6 linked regions of the Oryctolagus cuniculus genome follow. The protein of the gene in region 4 purifies or fractionates together with the protein of the main gene of each other region. This does not show direct contact. Links are inferred from orthologs where the notes say so. Each region holds a gene or a part of one and is shown on either strand. Other genes may lie near its edges.

Region 1 (4,179 bases), on a different chromosome or scaffold from region 4:
TTGAAGTCTTTTTTTTTTTTTAACATCACTAGAGTGGTTGCTTTTTATGTCCTCGGCTTATACTGAGGTCTAAGAGCACCTCCCAGGCCTGTTTTCTCAGAGTCTCTGAAAGATGAACACCACGTTGGCTTTCATAGCGGTGAGGTGCCTCCCTTTTCAAAAAGAGCCCGCCGCACTCCCTGCCTCCATCCTATTATCGCGGTATCAGCCACCTCAGTTCCAGTTCGATCGCCGCCTCTGATGCGCCACAGCACACACGCACCGAGTGCGCGCAGGGCCTGAACTTCCACCGTGCAGGCTGCGGTAGAGGCACGTATTTAGTCCACACCGGGCAGCGTGATTTTATTCTCGTGAGATGCGAACTGATGGACCCAACCTCTGCCACAGGCCCACCAGACGATAAATACCACCATATGCTTGACGCACAGTCCATTTGGGCACAAACACTGCAATCACAGCCCTGTGTTTAGTATCAGAAACCCCTCCCGGTGTGCGACTGTTCGCTCTGCAGAGCCCGTGCTCCGGATTCCACTCGGAAAACCGCTTCTTACAGCTTAGAGCCCCTGTGCAGGTACGCTTCCCAGTAACATATGCACTGACGCACACAAAGGTGTGCACTAGCGCTAGCCCTTCCTCAGCAAATGTCCACACGAGGCCTGCGCCGCGCTCCCGCACATGCCCGCAGCGTGTGCGCCGCGCCGGCCGCCCAGGAAACTCGGCCGGCCCGGGCCCGGGTCCCGGCCCCGGCCCCGGCCCGGCCGCGCGGCCTACACCCAGCGGCCCTCAGCCGAGCGCGGCGGTGGGGGCGGGGCGGGGCCGCCCGCGCCCGGAGGCGCCTCGGAGCGCCCGCGGGGCCGGCTTTCTTTTTTAAAAGAATGCGCCGCACTCGCCCAGCCCCCAGCGCCGCCGCCGCCGAGAGCCGGGAGGGAGAGGAGCGCGGCCCGCGGACGCCCCCCCCCCCGCCGCTTCCCCGCGCCCCTCCCCCCGGCCCCTCCCCCGCGCGCCCGCCCGGCGCAGGCCGCTCGGGTTTGTTTTGCTGCGCGGCCGCCGCCGCCGCCGCCGCCGCCGCGGGCCTCGCGAGCTCATTTGTGCCTGGCTGGTCCCCATTCCTCTCTCCCCAGTGTTGAGTGTCTGAGCCGTTGGCTGCTCCGAACCGTTTGGCTCTTTCCCTTAGTAACAGCTTTTACCTTCTGCCTCAATTCCTCTCCCCGCTCGCGCCCTTCCCCCGCGCGCCGCCTCCCCCCGCCGCCGGCCGCGTGCGCCCCCGCCCCTCCCCCCGCGGCGGGAGCACCTCCGCTCGCCACCTGGGGACCCGCGCCGCGCTCCCCGCCCCCGCCCGCCGGCGCCCATCCCCCGCGCCCCGCGCTCGCCGGGGTTATAATTGCCTCTCACCCCCCGGAGGGGTTATTTTGGGGGTGGTTGGAGGCGGTGGCGGCGGCGGCGGCGGCGACGAGGGGAGTTTCCTTGTGCCTCCATTCCCGGGAGGGGGGGAGCGGCGTTGGAGGCCACCGTTTCCAGGTAAGCGCCGGGGGCCGGACCCCTGAGTGGGGGCGGCCGCGGGCCGGGCGGGGGGCCGCGGGCCGGAGGCGGCCGGGGGGCGCCGGGCCGCGGGGGGATGGGCGCTAGGGGGAACATGCGTTTTTCCACTGGGCCCTTGGGGGAGCTGGGGCTCGGGTGGGGGAGGGGAGGGAGGGCATTTAGGGTGCCCCATCCCCCCGCCTTGGCTCTCCCTGGCGCCTTTGAAATGCTCACGTGCCTGCCCACCCCCCCCACCCTCCCTGGGTCTCGGGGGGGATCCTCACCCTAATTATGTTGTCGTTGGCCCCGAAAATGGGCACCCGGGCCTGCTGGCCCCTTCCCCCTCCGTGCACCGACACCCCCTTTTTGTGTGTATGTGTATATGTGTATGTGTGTGTATATGTGTGTGTGTGTGCGCGCGCCGGGTGGGGGGAGGCTTTGAGGAAAGAATTTGCAGCAAATTGAATCAAGGAGCCATCATGAGGCCGACTCCTTTATAGCCTATTTTTAGCCGAGGAGACGGCTCCTCTCGATGCACGCGATTTTTGTGTGGAAGCCCAGGCAGCCATGGGAAGCGGCTCCCCCGGGCGGGCGCGGCCCGAGCCCCCGGCCGGCGTGCGGGGGGCTGCGGACGGTCGTTGGGGCCGCGCGTCCGGGGCGGGGGCGCCGGCGGCTGGGGGAGGGGCGGGCGGCCGCAGGGCCTCGCTCCGGGACGCGGTGGTTGGTCACTTGGTGCTTCCCACCGGCGGCGGGAGCTGTTTGGTGGAGCCCCTTTGAAGTTGGGTTCAGAAGTGTAGAATTGGCAAAGTTGTTGCCAGCTTCCTGGTAAGTTTCGGGTGGCACCGAGTGCCAGTGTTTTCTGACAGTGGAGAGGCCACGTTGTGAGAGGGTGGTTTCTCGGGAACTTCCTCTTTGCAGGCGAGGTCGTTTTTTTTTTTTTTTTTTTTTGAACAGAAAACAAGACTTTTTCTTGAAGTGAAATATTAATCTTCACGGTGGCAGCCCGAGGGAAGCCATGCGTGTGTTAACGTGTTCGGCGTTTTTTTGGAAGTTCCTAATTTGCTGAAGCGGGCATCGCCTTGCAGTGGCGACCGGGATTCAGTTCAGCCTGTGAAAATGGTGTGTTTCATGGAAAACTTGGGTCGTCGTGGCTTTTAAAAAAAATGCTCTTTGTTAGGTTATCCGACAATTTGTAAAAATAATGGGTGAATCTGAGAGAGAAGTGTTGCAGCCTAGTTAAAAATCGGATTTTCTCGGCGGCTGGAGTTTGCTTGAGATCTTGCTTGGACTGTGCAGGACCCAGAGGTTAAGAGTTTTAGTACCTATGCGATTTGCAGTCGAGTTAGGGAAGTTTACTACTGTTGGCTTTCTTGTTTTCCAAACAAGAACCTTATGCTCATCTAAACATCTTGTTAATAAAATATGGTGGGTTATTTTTAGTTCTAGGTTTTTAGACTGGAGGCTCCTTCCCCTCCCCCTCCATCATTAAGTAATCATCTTCCTCCTTTTTTTTTTTTTTTTTTCCTGAAGAGCCCTCCTCCAGTTTGGAGACCATAAGGGCCTCGTGGTGTTTTTAGCCTCTTAGCCTAAAACAACTTGAAGTAAATATCCTGGTTACACGGTGAAGACAGTGAGTGACTTTTTGGGGGGGGGGGTTTCGCAATGTGATTCATTTTTCATTTTTTGTTAAATGAGACCCATGTTACATTGGTGTATTTTAGTAATCTTGGCTTTCTGGGACTGCGTGTTCTCTCACCGTTTTAATAAGTTTATAGTCTGGAGAAGTAGGGCAGCTTTGTCTCCATGAAAACATCGTGAATGTTGGATTGTATCATGGGAGTTGATGGCAAGCTTCCCAAATTGTCATTGAGAGTTCTAGAAATAGTTAGCACTTACCTATGGGGGAGGGGCAGCAGAAAGAAAATAGGCTTGAGAGCCATTAGGCATGTGATGTGTGTTTATACTTTTTGCTCATAAATGGAGTTTTTCCTGCTTGTTTGGAGTCTCAATTTTTTGTTTTGAGTTTTGCTGTCCTGTACTGTGATGTATGTAATTGCAATCATTAGAGTTACAAGTAAGTGCCAATCCCCCCCCCCCCCCCCCCCGTTTGAAGTAGTTAGAATCAGTCCTGTGTAGGAGAAAGTAGTACACTCTATGGGGGATGAAAACAATGTGTGCATGGAAAAAGTTTTTCTTCTTGTGAGAATGGACTCAAGTGGCGTGTTAGTGTCTTAAAAATTGTTGCCAAGCTCACCGGCAGTTTGTAAGACATTTTCTTTTAACAGATGTCAGCTTTGGTTATTAACATGGGAGACGCTGATGGTAAATGGAGTGGCCCCTTGTGGAGATGGTATTTTTGCATCGGTTGCATCATGGAAGTGTTAAAAACATGTTAATAATTTTTTACATAGGTCCAGGAATCTCTTTGATACTTGTGTTCTCAACACCTAATTAAGCTTTTTGGGTGATTACCATGCTATCCGTCCAGCAACAGTAAGAAGTAACTGCTTCCTGTGCACTGCGAGCTTTTCAAGCTTTGCACAAAGGCAGATGCCGAACGTAAACATAGGGGTTCCTGATAAAAGGAGATGTAATTAACGGCTCTTCTGAATGTCAACCTGTTGAATAAATACATCAGTTCGTATATAGCAATGCAGCATA
Region 2 (2,367 bases), on a different chromosome or scaffold from region 4:
CACTAAACCATGACCCAACAATAATTTTCTATGCGGTTTCACTAATACCATTTAAAAGAACTTAACAAGTTAGTACGTTAATAGCTTTCTGAGACAAATTTAAGATCAAGAAAGTCCACAAATAATGTACAAATATTTGTTAAAAACGAACCAATCTGCCAACCATTTTCAAGAGTTCATATAATACATACAGCAAAATATTTATAACCAGAAACCGCAGTGCAGATACACCCTTAATTTGTTAAGTTTTACTCCAAAATGAAATCAACTTGCATGATTTCGTCTTACTAAAGCAGTGCACATTTTCTTTCATACAGACCAGTTAACATACAGGAGGAACCCACAAAGAGCCCATCAGTGATCTGACAAACTGTATTACACGGAACACAAATAAAGCCGGAAGTTAATCTGAAGAATATGAAGGCGTTATCAGAGATTATGCAGTGGCCTTGATTTTTATTTTTCTTTACCTAGAATTCTACAAATTTATCAATTATCTTTTTTAATAAACAGCACCAATCTTGCCCATTGATACAATTAAAATCTGACTTTCTCAGTTCTTAGTTCACAAGTTTATTATGAAAAACACTGCAGTGCCCTTGTGCAGTAACATCATCTTACAAGACGGGAGGGAGGGACAGTTCTGTTCAAAACAACTCACCAGGTTCTGACAATAACAAAGAACAACACAGGGGTGAGATCTGAGAAAGGAATAAACCGAGTGCAGACAAATCATACAATTAAATTAAATGGTATCCCTGAAAAGAAACAAAACGATTTCAAAACTCACAAGTAGAGGGAGGCCTTGGTACTTATTTTTAAAAATGTTCATTAAGCTCCAATGATTGTTTGCTGCTATCCTTATCTACAGTCATGCTGAGTAAAGCTATAGCTAAATGGAAGTTATTGTATTCACGAGGCGTTAATGTTTACATCTTATTATCTGCAGTCTCTCAGAGAAAGCAAAAGTAACTACAAATAGCGCTATGCCAGAAACTGGTTTCTTGACCAACAATGTCGCTTCAGCATGCAATGAACTGGTTCATTCTAAAGTGGTCACGGCTGTTGATGACAAGAGGCTTTGTATTTTTATATGGCACATCTTTTGGTCCGTGTGAAAACAAGTTTTTTGAAGGTTAACTATTTTTCTGACACTCTGGAGTTACTGTTGCTCTTCCCATTTCCATCAGGTCACATATGGTTCATGGCAATACTGTACAAGTTTAAAATTTCATTACAGGAAGTAGTCTGGGGTACGACGAGTAACATGTGGCTCGCCTCTACGAGGAGCTGGGTCAAACTGCAAGCTGAAAAACAAGAGATTCCTTGTTTACATTCTGACAGCCATGCACTAGCAATCCAAATCACTGGCATTCATTTTTAAACATTACATTTTTTTCCTATTCCATTCTAGGTCAGTCTCATGTAACAGGAGCTTACCTATACCTAAATCATGCAGTCAAAAGAGCTTCTAACTGCACTTTCCTGCAAAGAGCCCGGGCAACTTCAGCCACAAAAATGATGCTTTTACAAACTATGGTTCCTGGGGCTGGAGCTGTGGCGCAGAGGGTTAACGCCCTGGACTGAAGCACCGGCATCCCCCCTGGGATGAAAAGTCTGGGCTGCTCTACTTCCAATCCAGCTCTTTGCTATGGCCTGGGATAGCAGTAGAGTATGGCACAAGTCTTTGGGCCCCTGCACCCTTGTGGGGACCCGGAAGAACCTCCTGACTCCTGGCTTTGGATCAGCACAGCTCCATCCATTGCAGCCAATTGGAGAGTGAACTAGCAGCTCAAAGACCTTTCTCTCTCCCTCTCTCTGCCTCTCCTCTCTCTGTGTAACTCCGACTTGCAAATAAGTAAATATTTTTAAAAAATTTATAATTTTCCTAAGAACAATATTCCTTAAGAGTGGGTTTCTGCTTAAAAAAAAACAAAAAACAAAAAACAAAAAAAAAACTAGGGTTCCTGCTAAGATGGTTTGAGAGACTGCCAACTAAATAAACTTTAATGCAACTAAAGAACTGTATCTTAAAAGTTAAAACTCTAATAATTCATATTATGATCTGTGTACAATATATTAGTTTCTACTGTACTGTTTCAATATATTATAAGTCCCAAGAAGAAGTTAAAATTTAACATGATTGTACAAACCCTTAAATGTCCCAGTAAAACCAAATATTCAGTAATGGCGATGAAACACTGGGCGTGAACACTTACAAAGAGTATTTTAGAGTGTCATCAAGTTCCATGATTGCAGCTTGGTTACCACAGCGGTAACAATAGTTTGGAGCACTGAAAATTGTTACTACATTTCGGTCATGGCACCAGTTATATCCCTAAATGGAAAAGAAATTAAAATCAACTT
Region 3 (4,082 bases), on a different chromosome or scaffold from region 4:
CCCCTCCTCTCCCCTCCGTGGTCTCCCCAAAGCTGCGGCTCCCCACCTGCCCTCTCTGCTTACAGCCCAGCTTCCCACGTGGACCCTGGGGCCGGGGCGGAGGGTGGGGGTGGCGGCTGGCAGCCTGTCCGCTCCATTTCCCACCCCGTTTCGTGGAGAGGCTCAGGCCCAGGTAGGGGAGACAGGAGCTCGTTTAAGCCTCCGACAACGGCCACGCGAAGCGCAGGGCCGAATTCCGCCAGCCCCGAGCTCCTCCGCCTCACCCCGCCGAGGGCCGCTGGCTCCATTTGCCGCCCACCGCCCACTCCAAATAGCCGCCCTCTCCCCTGAGTCTCTCCAACACTGCTCGCCTTTCTTGCTCGCACGCATCCCCTGGCCGTGCCCTGGTCTAGTGTGCCCCGCCTGAACTACCGGCCCACCGCACGGATCCCTCCGAGCCCCGACCAGCCGGTCTCCCTCGCTCACACCAGGCGCATCCGGCCTCTGCTGAACACAGACCTGCGGGGTGGCCCTGCCCCCTGGAAACTCTTTTCGGTTGGCAATGGAGACCAACAGAGCAAGGGCGGCAGGGCAGAGGCAGGGCAGGCGTCGCAGCACTGTAGCCACCAAACCCAGCGCCTCCCTCCCCTCACTGGGCACACCCCAGAGCCCACCGGCTGCTAGGGCGCTAAGCACCCGACCACACCGGCCTGGGCCTGCGACCGGCTTTTGGTCCAGCTAGGAGACGTCCCGCGGCTTGGGGCCACCTCTGCCACCCTGGTTTCCAGCATCGCAGTCCTCACGCTTTCCACCTGTCCCTTCGTGCCCTTTGCCCCTCCGCTTCTGCCCGGGGCAACCCCTAAGACCCACCTGGCTCGCCGCCGCCTCCACGCGGCTCCGCCGGCTTACCTGCAGCCGGCAGGGCTCTCCTGGGAGCGCCCGGGAGTCGGCCAGTCTGTGCGGGAGCACACTCCCGCCTCGCCTCGGCTCCTGCGGCAGCATCTCCACCGCGCCCGCACGCCCCAGGGCTGGGGTGACTCCCTCGCCGGGCTGCACGCAGGGCTTCCCGCCCGCACCCCTCGTCTCCAGGCGCCCAGCACGGCGGGCCGCCGTCCCGGAGCCCCGCCGCCCGGGACCCTCGAGGCGCCGCCGCGACGGCACCGGGGATCCTCCGCTCCGGGCTCGCCTAATTTATTTATTTGCACGGTTCCCGGAGGGAGGGGCGGGGCGAGCGCGGAGGCGGGCCCTCGGCCGTGACGCAGCGCCGCGGAGCCAATGGCCGGCGGGGGGCGTTCCCCATTCAGCACTCCTCGCCCGGCTCGGAAGGTATGTTAAACAGCTGCTTTCAATTCGGTGCCCCCGGCCCGCGTCCGGGGGGCGGCTCGCCGTGGCCGGCCCGACGCAGAGCGGGCGCGCAGGCCCCGGGGCGGCTCGGAGTCCCGCGGCCGAGGTAGGCGAGGGGCCGGCCCGGAGGGAGGGCGCTCGGCGCCGCCCGCCCGCCCGCCACTGTGTCTCCCGGCCGGGCCGAGCCGTGGGGAGGGGGCGCCAGCGCCGGCCGCGCCGCCTAGTGTTGCCGAGCACTCGGTGTCGGTAGGTTTCGGCGGCGGATTGGGGAGCGGCGAGCCGGAGGAGTCTCCGGCTCCGCTCACGCCTTTTTTTTTTTTTTTAAGAAAAACACACGAAAAGCAGCAAAAAAAAAAAAAAAAAAAAAGGTGGGTGGGGGGCCCTGCGCGCCGACCGGACGCGCTCCGGCAGGCGGGGGGCGGCGGCCGGCCCGGAGTTCCCTCCGCGCGGACTTGCCGGGCGGGCCGGGCTCGCGGCTTCCCTGCGCGCGCAAACTTGCACGAGGGGCGCGGGCGCCCCCGGCCCGGGGCCGCCGCCCTCGCCCCCCGCCGCCTCGCCGCCCGGAGCGGCCGTGAAGGTCGGAACCTGGGGAACTGTCTCCACGCTCGCTCGGGAAGAGGAAACGCATCAGCGGGCGGGAGGCGGGGCGCAGGCGCCGGGCGGGGGCGCGGGCCCGGCCGGCCGGCCGGCCGGCCGGCCTCCGGCCGCGGCCCAGACTGTTTACTACCGACTCCGCCGGCGGCTTGTGCAAGCGGCCCGCAGGGGACACGCGGGGCGGGGCGCCGCCTCGCCGCCCGCCGCCCCGGGCTCCTTGCGGGCCCCGCCTGCTCTTGTCTTCCATTGGCTGCTCGGGACTCCCTCTTTCGCTTCTCGGGCACGGATTGGCTGACATTATCTCGAGCTCCGCCTATAGGGAGGCCGGGCAGGAGTTTAAGTTGCTAGGGTTTTTTTTTTTTTTTTTCCGTGAAGGGCGGAGGGGGGGGCGTCCTGCGGCTACGTGAGGCGCGAGGGCCCGCCCCCGCTCCTGATTGGCTGCGCGCGCGGCCCCGCCCCCGGCGGAGCGAGCCGGGAGGGGAAGTCCGCCCTCGGCCGCGAGCGCGCCCCGCACATGTGTGAGGCCGCCGCGCTGCTCGCGTGCCTCCCGCCCGGAAGTCCCGGCTCCGCGCCCCGCGGGGGGAGGGGGTGGCGAAGGCGCGCTGGGCTGCCCGGCATCCCGCGGCCGGCGGCTTCCGGGTGGCGCTGGGGGCTCTGCGGGCGAGGGTCTGTCCGTCGGGCCGGGGCCGCGCTCTGAAGTTCGGGCCCGGCGGCGTGGCTGTTTCCGCGCGAGAGCGCTGCGGACGCCGGCAGCCGCTGCCCTCGGCGGGCCGGGAGGGGACCCCGGCGCGGGGTCGGGGCGCGGCGCGCGGGGCTGGGCCCGAGCTGCGCCCCCGCCGGGGGGTCGGCTCCCCGCAGTTCCCAGCTCGCAGCCGGCACTCACCTGTTGCCGGAGCTCGCTCCGAGGCTGCGGAGGGAGGGCGGTGTTGGGGTCCCCTCTGCGGGCGAGAGCGGGAAGCCCCGAGCCCCGCCCCCCAAGCAAGGCCACCGGCGGGCCCATGCCCTGTGTGCCGGCACCTGGTCTCGGTGCAGCTTAGCCTTCACGGAGCGGACCTAGGGACTGCCAGGAGCCCACGGTGGCCGAGGTGGACGCCGGCCGCGCCGGCCTCACCGCACGGGGAAGCCCCCGCCCAGAGGGGTCTGACCGCACGCGGGACCCCGGCCCAGAAGGTGTCTCTGCACGCGGGACCCCGGCCCAGAGGGGTCTGACCGCACGCGGGACCCCGGCCCAGAGGGGTCTCTGACCGCACGCGGGACCCCGGCCCAGAGGTGGCCTCTGACCGCACGCGGGACCCCGGCCCAGAGGTGGTCTCTGGCCGCACGCGGGACCCCGGCCCAGAGGGGTCTCTACCGCACGCGGGAGTCCGGCCCAGAGGGGTCTCTGACCGCACGCGGGACCCCGGCCCAGAGGTGGTCTCTGGCCGCACGCGGTACCCCGGCCCAGAAGGTGTCTCTGCACGCGGGAGTCCGGCCCAGAGGGGTCTCTGACCGCACGCGGGACCCCGGCCCAGAAGGTGTCTCTGCACGCGGGACCCCGGCCCAGAGGGGTCTGACCGCACGAGGCACCCCCGCCCACTCCGGTCCCTTCCTCGGTTCCTCCGCTGGCTCTGCCCCCGAGGCGGCCAGGGCGGTGGCCGTCGGGCCGCTTTCAGGGCTGCCCGTTCCGGTCGGGTTTGTGGGCGCAGCTCTGCCCCGGCCGCTGCTAGGCGGCGGCGTGCGACCGCCAGGCCGGAGGCTGAGGTTCGCGGTGAGGGGCGCCCGGGCCCCGGCGCTGCCCCCGGAACTCCGAGCTCGTCTCGGTGTCAACATTCCACCAAAGGACGGCGGGGCGGAATCGCCGGGGGCGGGCCCGGCGCGGCTGTGAGGTGGGAGGCGCCTGCGTCCCGCACGGACACTGTGCCCCACAGCGGCTGCCTTCCTGGGGCGCCGAGAGCCGGAGGTAGCCTTCCGAAACGCTGACCGGCGGAGGCGGGAGCCGACCTGCTCGGCCTGTGGCTGAGACGGCGCGGGGCGGGCCGTGCGGTGTCCTCCAATGAGACGAGAAGAGCTCCCCCGCTTCCGCCAATGGTGTTGCGGCTGGGGGGAGGGACTCGGCAATCCGTCTCCAATAGGCGGGGTTGAGTTAGGGAAGCTCCCCGCCAATAGGGGCGTGGAGAGGGTGAGCG
Region 4 (3,500 bases):
CGACCCGTGGATTGTTGGTCGACATGTTAATTTGTGGCTTTTTCAACACACAACAGCCATGAACGCTCTCACTCCGCAAGGGTTCCCGTGCACCCAGGGCCTCCTGGAGGGCCCTGCTGCTGCCCAGGGCGCTGTGGGCACCCAGGCTGGTATGAGGCCGTCTGAAACACGCTCTGGAAGAGGTCAGGCACCACGTCGGGCTCAGAGCGGTGGCCTGGCCACTCCTGCACACACCCCGCGGCCCCAGGGGGAGCCAGGCAGGCACTTGAAGTCGCCCCCGGGGAGGGCAGCAGCAAACGCGACGCAGCAGACACGGCACTGACCTCAGTGGGGATGCTGGGTGCGGCCGGCACGCCGCCGTTCTCCGTGCTGACGTTCCCAGAGCTGTTGTTGTTGGGCGAGCTGGGCCCGGAGCCCGGGGCGCTGCTGCACGCAGAGTCTGGTGGGGCAGAAACGTCCGGTGAGCGCGGCCTGAGCAACGGGTCCCCGCAGGGCACGGCGCAGCTCACCTGCAGCCCAGCGGCGCCGGCCTGCCGGGACGCCTGCTGTGGGCTTGGGACTGTGGAAACCCGACAGGAGGGACACGCCTGTGCTTCTGCACAGGGAGCCTGCGGCCAGCGCCCCGAGTCTCAGGCCCGCCCTGCTGTCCGCATGAGTCTGCGGAGCTCACGCTCCAGCAAGCCCCGTCAGGGGCTCAGGATACACACGGGGAGCCGTCGTCTGCCTCCTGAACTGCAGGAGCTATTCAAGTCCCAGGGAGATAAGCTCTCAGCCACCGCCACGTTCTAACCACAGAAGACCAGGAAGCACAGAGCAAATGACTGAGCGGTGAAAGGTCACATGCACTGCGCTCTCCAGAAAAACTCACTTCGAAACCAGGCCGCCCGCTGCTGGCGCTCTGAACTTGAGCTCGTGTGCAGCACAGCACCAGGTGCGGGCGCAGACGCAGCCAGCGGCGTCTGGGCTTTGTCCTTGCGGTCCACAAGCGTAAGGAGCCTTTCGCCCTCGGAGCGGCTCAGCCCCGGTGCCAGCGAGAGCCGTGTGGCCGGGGAAGCCACACTCAGCACCAAGCTCCCTCTCTTGGCCACGGCAGCCACTACTGCTGCTGCCACGCAGCCGAGGTCTCTGTGGCTCTCAATGTTAACAAGGCTCCAGGCTTCTGAAGTTGGGTTTAATGGCTGCTTAGTAACAGCAGCACCTGGGGCCAAGTTTCCAAAGGAAGGGCAATGCGAGCTGCATGCTTGGAACATTCCGGGAGTGCACCACCAGGGGGCGCTGCCGCGGTGGCAGCAGGTCTTCCGCGGGCTACACCGCAATTTCTCCTGTGCTCAGGCACGGTGCACTGGCGGGAGAAGACTCCAGGACCGTCCAGTGACTCTGACTGCGACCACGGAGCAGGGGGGCGGTGAGCGGGCAGGAACACCGGTTCACCACCGCCGGGGCAGGGGAGACCCACCCAGCCCCTGCAGACATGCCCACAGTGCCGCACCAGCTCACAGCCCTGCCCTGGTGCTGCCCGGGAAACCGCAGCGCTGTGCAGCTGGCGCTGGAGCAGGGACTTGGCGAGGGACTCCGGGTCGCCGAGCCTGGGTGGCCAGGCCTTGCGGACCTGGCACGAGGGGCCCAGGACTGCACGTGGCCAAGCATGTCAGGCAGACTGAGTGTCCAGAGGCTCCGGGAACAGCTGCGGTGACACAGGCGCCCACGCACCCGCCATACCTGTGACATCCAACGGACGCTTTTTGAGAGCGGTGACCACTGGCCCATCCTTCCTGCGCAGCAGGGGGCTGCTCCGCCTCTCGGCCACTTTCTGCTTGAGCCGGGACCGCAGTTTCAAGTTGGGTTCAGAAGCTGCACACACAGGAGATGTGGTTACGACATGCGGGCCAGCTGGATTCACGGGCATCTTGCGGGCAGTTCAGCGACACGCACTGTGGGCAACATCTGCTGGCAGTGACAGGCAGGCACACGGGAGCGTGGGCTGCACTTGTGTGGACACGGAGTCCCCACGTGTGGGTGACGTCTGACTTAGTGGTCATGACGGGGAACGGGCGAGGTGTGCCAGCAGCATAAAGGCAACATCTCTCACGTAATATTCTCCTAAACAATGTACCCATATCTTTAAAGCAGTGCTGCTCCAAGATCTGGGAAAATGACAAACAAGGGATGACTTGAGGCCCATGAACAATATTACCTGAACCATACACTTTAAAACATTAATTTACGGGGCTGGCGCCATGGCTCACTTGGCTAATCCTCCGCCTGTCCAGCTCTCTGCTGTGGCCCAGGAAGGCAGTGGAGGATGGCCCAAGTGCTTGGGCCCTGCACCCACGTGGAGCACCCGGCTCCTGGCTTTGGATCCGCATAGCTCTGGCCGTAGCGGCCATTTGGGGGGTGAACCAACGGAAGGAAAACCTTTCTCTCTGTCTCTCTCTCATTGTCTATAACTCTACCTGTCAAATAAATAAATAAAAAAAAAACTTAAAAAAAATTTACTTACGTGAAAGGCAGAGTGACAGAATGAACAGAGTGATCTTCCATCTACTCGTTCACCCCCCAAATGGCCACAGCAGCCAGGTCTGGACAGGCCAAAGCCAGGAGCCAGGAGCCAGGAGTTCCACCCGGGTCCCCCACATAAGCAGCAGGGTCAGAGCACTCGGGTCACCATCTGTCGTCTTCCCGGGTCGGCAGTGGATGACGGGACTTGCACCAACACCGTGATGTGGACACCGGCGCTGACGGGCAGATGAACCCGCCGTTCCACACAGCAGCCCCTCCGTAGGCTGCCTCGTGAGATGGCCCACGGCTGACAGCGCAGAAGCAAAACACCAGGCAGCCTCGGCGAAGGGCTGGTGGGCTCTGAGGCACGGGGGCCCTGCTCTGGGCCCGGAGCCCCTGGGGGAAGGGCTGTGAGTCCGCAACGGGCCGCCGAGGGCATCGCCAGGGCAAAGGCCAAGGCTCGCGGCGGCTCCTCCCGGCCGTCCCGTGGAGACGGGGAGGGAGATCTTAGAGGCCGAGCCCTGAGTGCAAAGCTGCTGCCTTCAAAGGGAGAGAGACAGGGCGAAGGTCCCACGCCCAATCCGCGAAGCCCCGGGTCAGAAGCGCCGACGGGTCCCAGCGAGGGGTCCCAGCGGAGCCGCGCAGAAGCGTCCTGTCTGGGGGAGCGGCGCCAGGAGACCCTCGCGGCTGGGAGCTCTCGGCTCAGTTCTGGGGACAAAGAATGGGGCTCGATGCCAGAATGCTCCGGAGGGCTCCTTCCCCCCAAACCCTCGGCCAATCCTGGATGTCGGAACAGAGATCTGCCAGCACGCGTGGCTTCCAAAACGCTCCCTCCACGCAGGACTTGCGTGGACTGCTGGGAGACGTGCACAGCCAAGGTGAGTGGGGGAGCACGCTGATGGGCCCAGGGAGGAGCCTCAAGGCAGGGCGTGGTGACAGGGGGGCGGGGCTGGGGTGCACTGACAGGTTCACACGACAAGTCAGGCTGTGGCTTTAGCGGG
Region 5 (3,993 bases), on a different chromosome or scaffold from region 4:
TTTGGAGATACAGAAAAGATGCATGAAGACAGAAGAGAAACTGAAAGAAATATTTGGAAGAACTTACAAAAAGCATTTTAAGGGTGGTGGAAGTTCAAACTTAAAGCTTAAACAGGTAACATTTACTAGGAAGTACACAAACTGTTACCAAGACTCCCCCATTCCCGACCCTGGGCTAAGTGTTCTACATGCATGATCTCATTTCCCATACATATTAACTGTTAAGATGGCTGCTTCTTATCATCAAAAGGAAAAGTTAGGCATGGACGCATTCAGGACTTGCCCAATTCACAAGTGGAAAGGCTGGCACTCTAACTCAGAGATTCAGGCCTCCAGCTTCTACACTCTTCATCTCTAGCCCTGCTGCTGTTATAAACAAGTCAAACTGCAACAACAAAAGTTTACTAATAAATGACTCTTAGTGGCCAAGGTTAAAAAAGAAAATTTAGAAATGTTTATTCTCAGAGATTTCACTACAATGCTCCAGTAATTATTTGTTTTGGAAAACTCTGAAGGAACCTGACCTGAAGCCTAAAAACAGAACCTCCTGCCATTCCTTTTGAATCTAAAAACCCCTATTATCCTTGTGCTCTCAGTAAGTCCAGCACCTACAACTAAGGAATCAACATGAAACTCCCTGTTAAATCTATTACAACCACACCACTCTGCTCTGATTTCTTTCAATTCTGATTTTCAGCTGCCTTGTCCTCCTCTAAAACTGGGAAAATTCCAAGAAGAAAATCTCCACCTCAATCTGTTACCTTTCAAAAACTTGAAGAAATATTAGTCAGGAAAGGGCATTTTTAATTAACATCATCCAAAAGTTGCTGAGTAATCACTATTTACTGTTTAACTTAAAATTTCAGTTATATTAAGAATCTCCATATTAAGTGTTACGACTACATTCGATCCCAGGTGGTTAAGTTTTCAAATGAGAAAATTTTGAAAATAACAATGGGAATGGGGAAAACCAAAGAATTCATTTAGCGCTGGGGCTGGTGCGCAGTAGTTGCTAATTTATTCACTCACTTATTTTACAGTGGCTTCTGGTATTAACTGAAGAATAGCAAAGAAGAAATCAGTAAAGTATTACATATAAAAAGGAAGTGACTGGTACACAACCTAATGCATTGTGGTAACTATGATTCAGTATATAATAAGGACGGAAAATTGGCACTACACAGAGGTAATCTGCCTTTGGTTTACAATATAGCAGCCTCTTCATTTCATCAAAAACACTGTAATCACTTCTGCAAAATTAATTGCAATTAATTCCTGGTTAACTCTTGAAATTAAATCTAGACTTGTGTGCTCATGTTTTAAATTGTGTAAGTGCTCTCTCCCCGGTGTATATAAACTGAGAATTTTACATTCTATTGAATAGGGACCAAGATAAAGAATCTACAAAACAGCAAGGATATAAACAAGTTTATCTTCCGCTCATACTGATTAGAGAAGTTAATCTCTCCCATAAGAGTGGAAGGACTTAACAGTAAAGCCAGCCTACGTTACTACTCCTACTATATAAATCCTCAATTCCTTAAAATAATTTCCTCAACGGTGAAAATACCAAAGTGGAGAAAATAGGGAGGGGGGTACTGTAAATACCACGGGTTCCACCATTCTTAATCTTTCTATAATGTACCCCTCTTACACTTCACGCTGTTCAATAAACTTGCTTTAAGTCCCAACACAATCTGGATATGTGCTGATGGTTTCCTTCAAATATATTAAAATATCAGGAAAACGAGACAGTTCTGAAAAAAAAAAAATCCTCCAACACTTTAGTGTTGCATTTCGTTTGCTCCGGTCATCTACTTCGCTTTTCAACCTCACTGACACTGTCTGCCTAAATCGAAGCCGCCCGTTACATTTTCACCAAGATATTTTCGGGAATGAATGAGGCACGGATTCCTGCTCATCGTCTGGGCTCCCTGGATCCCAAGTCTCCACTTCCCAAGTTCCCGCTACAGCCTGGCGATGTGCCCCCCAATTCCCGTTACTCCGACTCCCAAGTCTGGGCAAGTTTTTCCAGCCGATTAAAACAACAAAACGAAAAACAAAACCTGCACGTGCAAACTAAAAAGTTAGCATCCGAAGGCCGCCGCGGCCAATCCCCCCACCACGGCACAAAGGCAGCGACACCCGCCGCGGCGGGACCGCCGCAAGGGCCAGCCCAGCCGCGGCCGCCGGGGCCCCGCACCCGCCGGCGAGCCGCGGCCAGCGTGCGGGGCGCCCGGCCCGCGCCTTCCCCGCCACCGGGAGGGAGCGGAAGCTCCGGGTGCGAGCGGCGGCGCCGAGCTGCGGGCTCGGCTTCCAGGCTGGGGCGAAGTCCCCTCCGGACGGGGCCGCGCCGCAAGGCTGGGGCTCCGCGGCGGGCGCGGGGGGCGGCGCGAGGACCCCCGCAGCCCCGGCTGGGGGCGGCGGCGGCGGCGGCGTGCAGACCCCCGGCCCCCTGGAAGCACTTTCGAGGCGTCTCCCACCCCCCACGACAAGATGGCGACGTGGACAGCGGGGGAGCCCGGCCGGCGAGGTTGGGGGAAAGAGAGGGGAGGGGAGAGGAGGCAGAAACAACAAAAAAAAAGGCCGGGCGACCCCCGCCCGCCCAGCGACCCACCCCGGGAGCGCCGCGGCCCGGCGGGCGGGCGGGCGGGGAAGGGGCTTACTTTTTCTTGTCGTTCGCGCCGCCGGCGCCCTCCATGGCGATTCGGTCTCCGCGATGCCTTCCCGGCCGGCGGCCCCCAGGCTCGCTCCGGCCTAAGCGCCGGCTCCCTGCACACGCGGAGAGAGCAGAGCAAGTCCGGGTGGGGGCGGCGGCGGGGGAGGGGTGCGAGGCGGGAAGCTCCTCGCAGAGCAGAGCGGGGCGGCGAGCGCGGAGTCCGGCGCGAGCCTCCGCGCAGGCTGCTTGTCACGGCCCGGCCCGACGCGCTGGGCCCACTCGGCAGCGAGGACGGTCCTCGCGTCCCCTCAGACGAGGCGGCTCTGCGCTCGGCGGAGCTGAGGCAGCGGGCAGGGGGCGGGCAAGGGCGGAGGCGCGCCCGGCCGCGCGGGGAGGGGAGGGGCGGGGCGGGAGCGCGCGCCCCCGCCCCTCGCCTGCCCGCCGAGCCCAGCGCGCGCGCGCGCGCCCCCGCAGGCCCGCCTCACCTGAGGGGGAGGCGGGCTGCTCGGGAGCCAATGGCGAGCGACGCAGGCGGCCAGTGCCCACCCCAGCCCACGTCGCTCTCAGCCAATCCGGAGGCGCTCAGCTGAGGCACAGCTGGGACGCGCCGCGGCGCTCACGTGCCCGTCTGTGTGCGGCCGGGGCGGAGAGAAAGGCGTTGGGGGGTGCGTCTGCGCCGGGACTAGGGGGCACCCAGCGCCTGCCGCTGGGGACGGCGGCGGCGGGCTTGCGGGAGGCGCTGCTGAGGGGAGTTGGCGGCTGCCCGGGCCCGAGGTTGCATCACGTTTTCCCGCTCCCGCGCTCCCCTCAGGCGGCGTAGCCGAGTTCCCTGTGGGAAAGCGCAGCCCTGGCGGCTTGGGCGCGAGCCCCCCGGGTCTCCCCGCTCGGACGCGTTGCGGCGCGGCCTTCCTGCCAGGCTGCCCGCGCTCTGCCGCACGGCACGGGGGACCCCGCGGGGCCCCTGAGGCGTTCTGTCGCGAACTTGTTTAAGTTAATGCCAGGGAAAACCTCACAGACCCGTTGTTGCACGCCTCTCTCCGAGGAAGGAAGGTGTGAAGTTACTGTAGAAACGGCTTTCAGAAGCGAGAATATATAAACCTGCATTTCAGGGAGGGTCGGAAAAATGGCTTTAGGCACACTTTTCTTTGTGCTTTCTTAGCGCTTTTGCAAGACGATCTTGCGTGGATTCAGAAGAGTCTCCTTGAGTTGCGTTCGCGGTGTAGACCGAGTCCGGAACCCAGGCTGCCTCCGGGGCATGGGCCAGAGCCCGCCGGGTTGGAAGGAACCGGGCACGACGGTGCTGGCTAGCACTGCCTGTTTGCTGACAGGACTGC
Region 6 (3,500 bases), on a different chromosome or scaffold from region 4:
AGATGTCCCCAAGAGCTGGGGTTTGGACAGGACAAAGCCAGGAACTCCATCCAAGTCTCCACATGGGTGGCAGGGACCCAAGTCCTTGGGCTATCATCTGCTACCTGCCAGGTAGCGGGAAGCTAGATCAGAAGCACAGAGTAGCCAGGAGTTGAACTAGGTCCTCTGTTATGGAAGCAGGCATCCCAAGCAGTGGCTTAACCTGCTGAGCCACAATTCCTACTCCCTTACTTTTTGATTTATATTTGTTTCTATTTTTTTAAGATCAGTTAACAGAAGCACAAGTTAAGTTGAATAACTCTAATCCCAAAATCCAGAATGTTCCAAAATTCAAAGCTTTTTGAGCACAATGTGATACAAGTGGAAAATTCCATATGAGGGTGCAGGGGCCCAAGCACTTGGGCCATCTTCTACTGCTTTCCCAGGCCATAGCGGAAGCTGGATCGGAAGTGGAGCAGTCAGGACTCGAACCAGCGCCCATGTGGGATGCCGGCACTGTAGGTGGCAGCTTTACCAGCTGCACCACAGAACCGGCCCCCACTTTACTAATAAAGTTCCCTTGAGTTGACCTTCCCCTGTATAACACCTGCCCCTGAAGGCCAGGAATGTGGTGAATTCACTGCACCCCTCAGAGCTCAAAGACCTGCTGCTCCCCAAACATGTTTGAGCACTGCCCTGGGAGAGTCAGAGACTCTCTTTTGTAAGAGGAGGAAAAGTGAGGTCGGTGTTATGGTGTAGCAGGTTAAGCCACCATCTGCAGTGCTGGTATCCCATATAGGTGCTGGCTAGAGTCCTGGCTGTTCTACTTCTGATCCAGCTCCCTCCTAGTGTGTCTGGAAAAGCAGCAGAAGACAGCCCTAGTGTTTGGGCCCCTGCATCCAAGTAGGAGACCCAGATGAAGCTCCTGGCTTCAGCCTGGCCCAGCCCTGGTCACTGAGGCCATTTGCGGAGTGAACTAGCAGATGAAGATCTCTCTCCTCTCTGACTCCCCCTCTCTCTCTGTAACTCTAACACTCAAATAAATAAATAAAACTGTAAAAAGAAAAAAAAAAAGAGAGAGAAGGAAAAAGCTCTACTAGGGCAGGAACGCTCTCCACAGGCTACCCGTTCCCTTCTCTGCTCTGGTGGCTCTTCCCTGGGTCTGAACATAGCTCCAGAATTTTCAGCAGGAATTTAAGCTGTCACATAAATTAACCAGGGCTGGCAAATGCAATGAGATCCAACTGGATGATCACAGAGATGTCACTGCTTAAACACTTGATGATTCCACTGGCTCAGCTCCTTTACCCAGCCCTGCCCCTGGCCCTCTGAGGGCCTCAGGGTCCCCACCTGTGGGACAATGTCCACGGCCTCTCACTTACCTCTGTGAACTTGTCTGCCACCATGTAGCGGACACGCCAGGACTTGTCCTCAGCAGCCTGGCGCAGGGTGGGCATCACCAAGGCCTCCAGGTCCTCCTGGGGCAGGAGCTGGGCAATGTTCACGCACGCCTCCACTGCCAACAGCCGCACCGAGTCCTGGGGAGATCAGGGCACAGGGAGGGCAGCAGAGGCCCTGCTGAGCCCTGGGAGTCCCTCTGAGTGCACGGTCGGCCAGAGGGGAGGGCCAGGGAACAGAGCTCACCTGCTCGTCAGAGGCCAGGTTGGAGAACATGGGGATGATCTCACTCTTGACATTGTCTAGCTCCAGCACCTTGGCGAACTCCCCCAGCTTGGAGGCTGCGGCCCGCCGCACCATGGGGGTGTCGTCTGAGCACAGGTTCCGGAAATACCTGGGATTGCAGGCAGAACTCAGGAGGGGGAAACCCTGGGAATTCCAAGGCAGCAGGCAGCAGAGTGGCAAGGTGCCTCTAGGGTCCTGGCTTTGCTGGGTGGAGCTGTGAGCAGCAGCACCTACCCCACAGAGCCGTCAGGTTAAATCAGGTAGCATGTGTGAGACACTCAGCAGCCTTCCAGCACATAATAATGCTACCAGGTAACAATCAGAAAACTGCCAAACCGGAAGTGCTGCCCTAAGTCAAACCGAGAGGCTATCCTTAAACACAGCTGCTGGACACGCATGGGTAAAGGGAGGTAACTCAGCACACAGGTCCCACTGGAAACCAAAACTCTGGAGTGAGTGACAGTTCAGGGCCTGGGCCTGAGGTTCAAGATCCTGGGAGAGACCTGGGTAGGCCTGACATGGAGATGGCACATGTGCCAAAGGCTGTGACCTAGGGTTGGCCCAAGGTAACACCAGACATCACTGGTTGAGTGTTTTGTGTGCCAGATTCCATCCAAATCACTTCATGTGCTCATTTTATTAAAATGGGAAGAAGGCACTCCCACTGAGACAGAGCCAGGGTTGATGCCACACCCCCAAGGGCACGCCTCTCTGGGGACCGGTGAGGTGGAGTGGGAGCTGGGAGCACTCCGGGCAAGTGAGCCAGGGCGGACCTAAAGGGGCTGAGGCTTTAAGGAAGGGAACCAAGCTCAGCGGTGGGAGGGCCAGGGCTTCCATGGGGCAAGAGCAGGACTTACTGTCGAAGTTCCGCCTTGACGGCACTGGACACGCGGGGGTAGCAGACAGAGAAGAGGCCACAGGCGGAGGTGCGGGAGGTGAACCAGTCGCCGCCCGCCAGCCTCTTCACCAGTGGCACGAAGTGGGCCTCCAGGTCGGAGGGCGAGTGCTCGTGTGAGATGGCCCGCAGGGACTCCACCGCCTTGTCCCGCACCACCGTCTCCTCCACCGTGGCCAGTGACTCCAGGGGTGGCTGTGAGGAGAAGGAGACCATCACACACTCGCTCCCCACCACACGTGGTCCTGGACTCCCACCCAGACCGTGCTCCCTCCTGGTGCATCTCCCTGCAGATCCCCAATCACTCCGTGCCAGCCTTCACCCAGCCTTCCGTGAAAGCTCTCAGCTCCTCATAAACCTTTGTACGTGTGCCGTTTCCTGAGGAGAGGCCTGTCTACCCTTGGCTTCTCTAAGTGCACGACTCATCACTGATGCTGACGGGAACCTCTACCCCACGCTCAAAGCAGGGCCACCATGTCACAGCCCCCAGGGCTGGTTCAGCTCACAGGATCTCAGGAAGCAGGTCCCTTTAGCGTCCTCACTTCAAAGAGGACAGTGAGGCAAAGACAAGCTGAGCACTTTGCCCAAGCCAGGAACAACTTCAAGTCAGGACCTAAACCCACTCACTTGGCTCAGAGGCTCCGCAGTCTGGCCTCTAACACAGTTCTGCTGACTGTAACAAGATCTCACGTGACTCTGGGGCCCTGGGTAACTGCTTACTGGTGTGTTACCGGAGATTCTGGGGGGCGGGGACATCTGACTGGCTGCCCACTTTGCCCCAAAGCCCAGCAGGGCTCCTAGCATAGGGCAGGAATGCAGCAATTCCTGACCTAATGGAGACTCAATTTATGCTACAATGTTCAACTAAAGTTGTGCAGGGCTCTGGTCTGAAATCCAGCTTGGCTGGGGAGGTATTTAAGGCAGAAAGAAGGTACAATGGGAA

What was found.
Region 1: the proteins of HDAC4 (region 4) and TBL1XR1 purify together in Homo sapiens (affinity purification with mass spectrometry; 3 studies listed by BioGRID and IntAct, with this or other methods). This does not show direct contact. The link is inferred for Oryctolagus cuniculus from reciprocal best matches to the Homo sapiens genes HDAC4 and TBL1XR1.
Region 2: the proteins of HDAC4 (region 4) and PPP2CA purify together in Homo sapiens (affinity purification with western blotting; 3 studies listed by BioGRID, with this or other methods). This does not show direct contact. The link is inferred for Oryctolagus cuniculus from reciprocal best matches to the Homo sapiens genes HDAC4 and PPP2CA.
Region 3: the proteins of HDAC4 (region 4) and SIN3A purify together in Homo sapiens (affinity purification with western blotting; 3 studies listed by BioGRID and IntAct, with this or other methods). This does not show direct contact. The link is inferred for Oryctolagus cuniculus from reciprocal best matches to the Homo sapiens genes HDAC4 and SIN3A.
Region 5: the proteins of HDAC4 (region 4) and HIF1A purify together in Homo sapiens (affinity purification with western blotting; 4 studies listed by BioGRID and IntAct, with this or other methods). This does not show direct contact. The link is inferred for Oryctolagus cuniculus from reciprocal best matches to the Homo sapiens genes HDAC4 and HIF1A.
Region 6: the proteins of HDAC4 (region 4) and PPP2R1A purify together in Homo sapiens (affinity purification with mass spectrometry; 3 studies listed by BioGRID, with this or other methods). This does not show direct contact. The link is inferred for Oryctolagus cuniculus from reciprocal best matches to the Homo sapiens genes HDAC4 and PPP2R1A.

Annotation. Positions count from the first base shown.
Region 1 is NC_091435.1:102,717,847-102,722,025, forward strand, and holds the start of TBL1XR1 (F-box-like/WD repeat-containing protein TBL1XR1), read left to right. Parts: upstream 1-1,379; 5' UTR 1,380-1,518; intron 1,519-1,813; exon of another isoform or gene 1,814-2,343; intron 2,344-2,482; exon of another isoform or gene 2,483-2,637; intron 2,638-4,179. UniProt on the Homo sapiens protein: F-box-like protein involved in the recruitment of the ubiquitin/19S proteasome complex to nuclear receptor-regulated transcription units. Plays an essential role in transcription activation mediated by nuclear receptors.
Region 2 is NC_091437.1:22,493,193-22,495,559, forward strand, and holds the end of PPP2CA (serine/threonine-protein phosphatase 2A catalytic subunit alpha isoform), read right to left. Parts: intron 2,339-2,367; coding exon 2,220-2,338; intron 1,308-2,219; coding exon 1,235-1,307; 3' UTR 501-1,234; downstream 1-500. UniProt on the Homo sapiens protein: Catalytic subunit of protein phosphatase 2A (PP2A), a serine/threonine phosphatase involved in the regulation of a wide variety of enzymes, signal transduction pathways, and cellular events.
Region 3 is NC_091443.1:108,521,641-108,525,722, forward strand, and holds the start of SIN3A (paired amphipathic helix protein Sin3a), read left to right. Parts: upstream 1-1,282; 5' UTR 1,283-1,305; intron 1,306-1,404; exon of another isoform or gene 1,405-1,429; intron 1,430-4,082. UniProt on the Homo sapiens protein: Acts as a transcriptional repressor. Corepressor for REST. Interacts with MXI1 to repress MYC responsive genes and antagonize MYC oncogenic activities. Also interacts with MXD1-MAX heterodimers to repress transcription by tethering SIN3A to DNA.
Region 4 is NC_091434.1:1,604,491-1,607,990, reverse strand, and holds part of HDAC4 (histone deacetylase 4), read right to left. Parts: intron 1,852-3,500; coding exon 1,720-1,851; intron 440-1,719; coding exon 324-439; intron 1-323. UniProt on the Homo sapiens protein: Responsible for the deacetylation of lysine residues on the N-terminal part of the core histones (H2A, H2B, H3 and H4).
Region 5 is NC_091451.1:8,816,850-8,820,842, forward strand, and holds the start of HIF1A (hypoxia-inducible factor 1-alpha), read right to left. Parts: upstream 2,801-3,993; 5' UTR 2,702-2,800; coding exon 2,667-2,701; intron 1-2,666.
Region 6 is NC_091449.1:6,437,523-6,441,022, reverse strand, and holds part of PPP2R1A (serine/threonine-protein phosphatase 2A 65 kDa regulatory subunit A alpha isoform), read right to left. Parts: intron 2,753-3,500; coding exon 2,520-2,752; intron 1,772-2,519; coding exon 1,624-1,771; intron 1,518-1,623; coding exon 1,362-1,517; intron 1-1,361. UniProt on the Homo sapiens protein: The PR65 subunit of protein phosphatase 2A serves as a scaffolding molecule to coordinate the assembly of the catalytic subunit and a variable regulatory B subunit.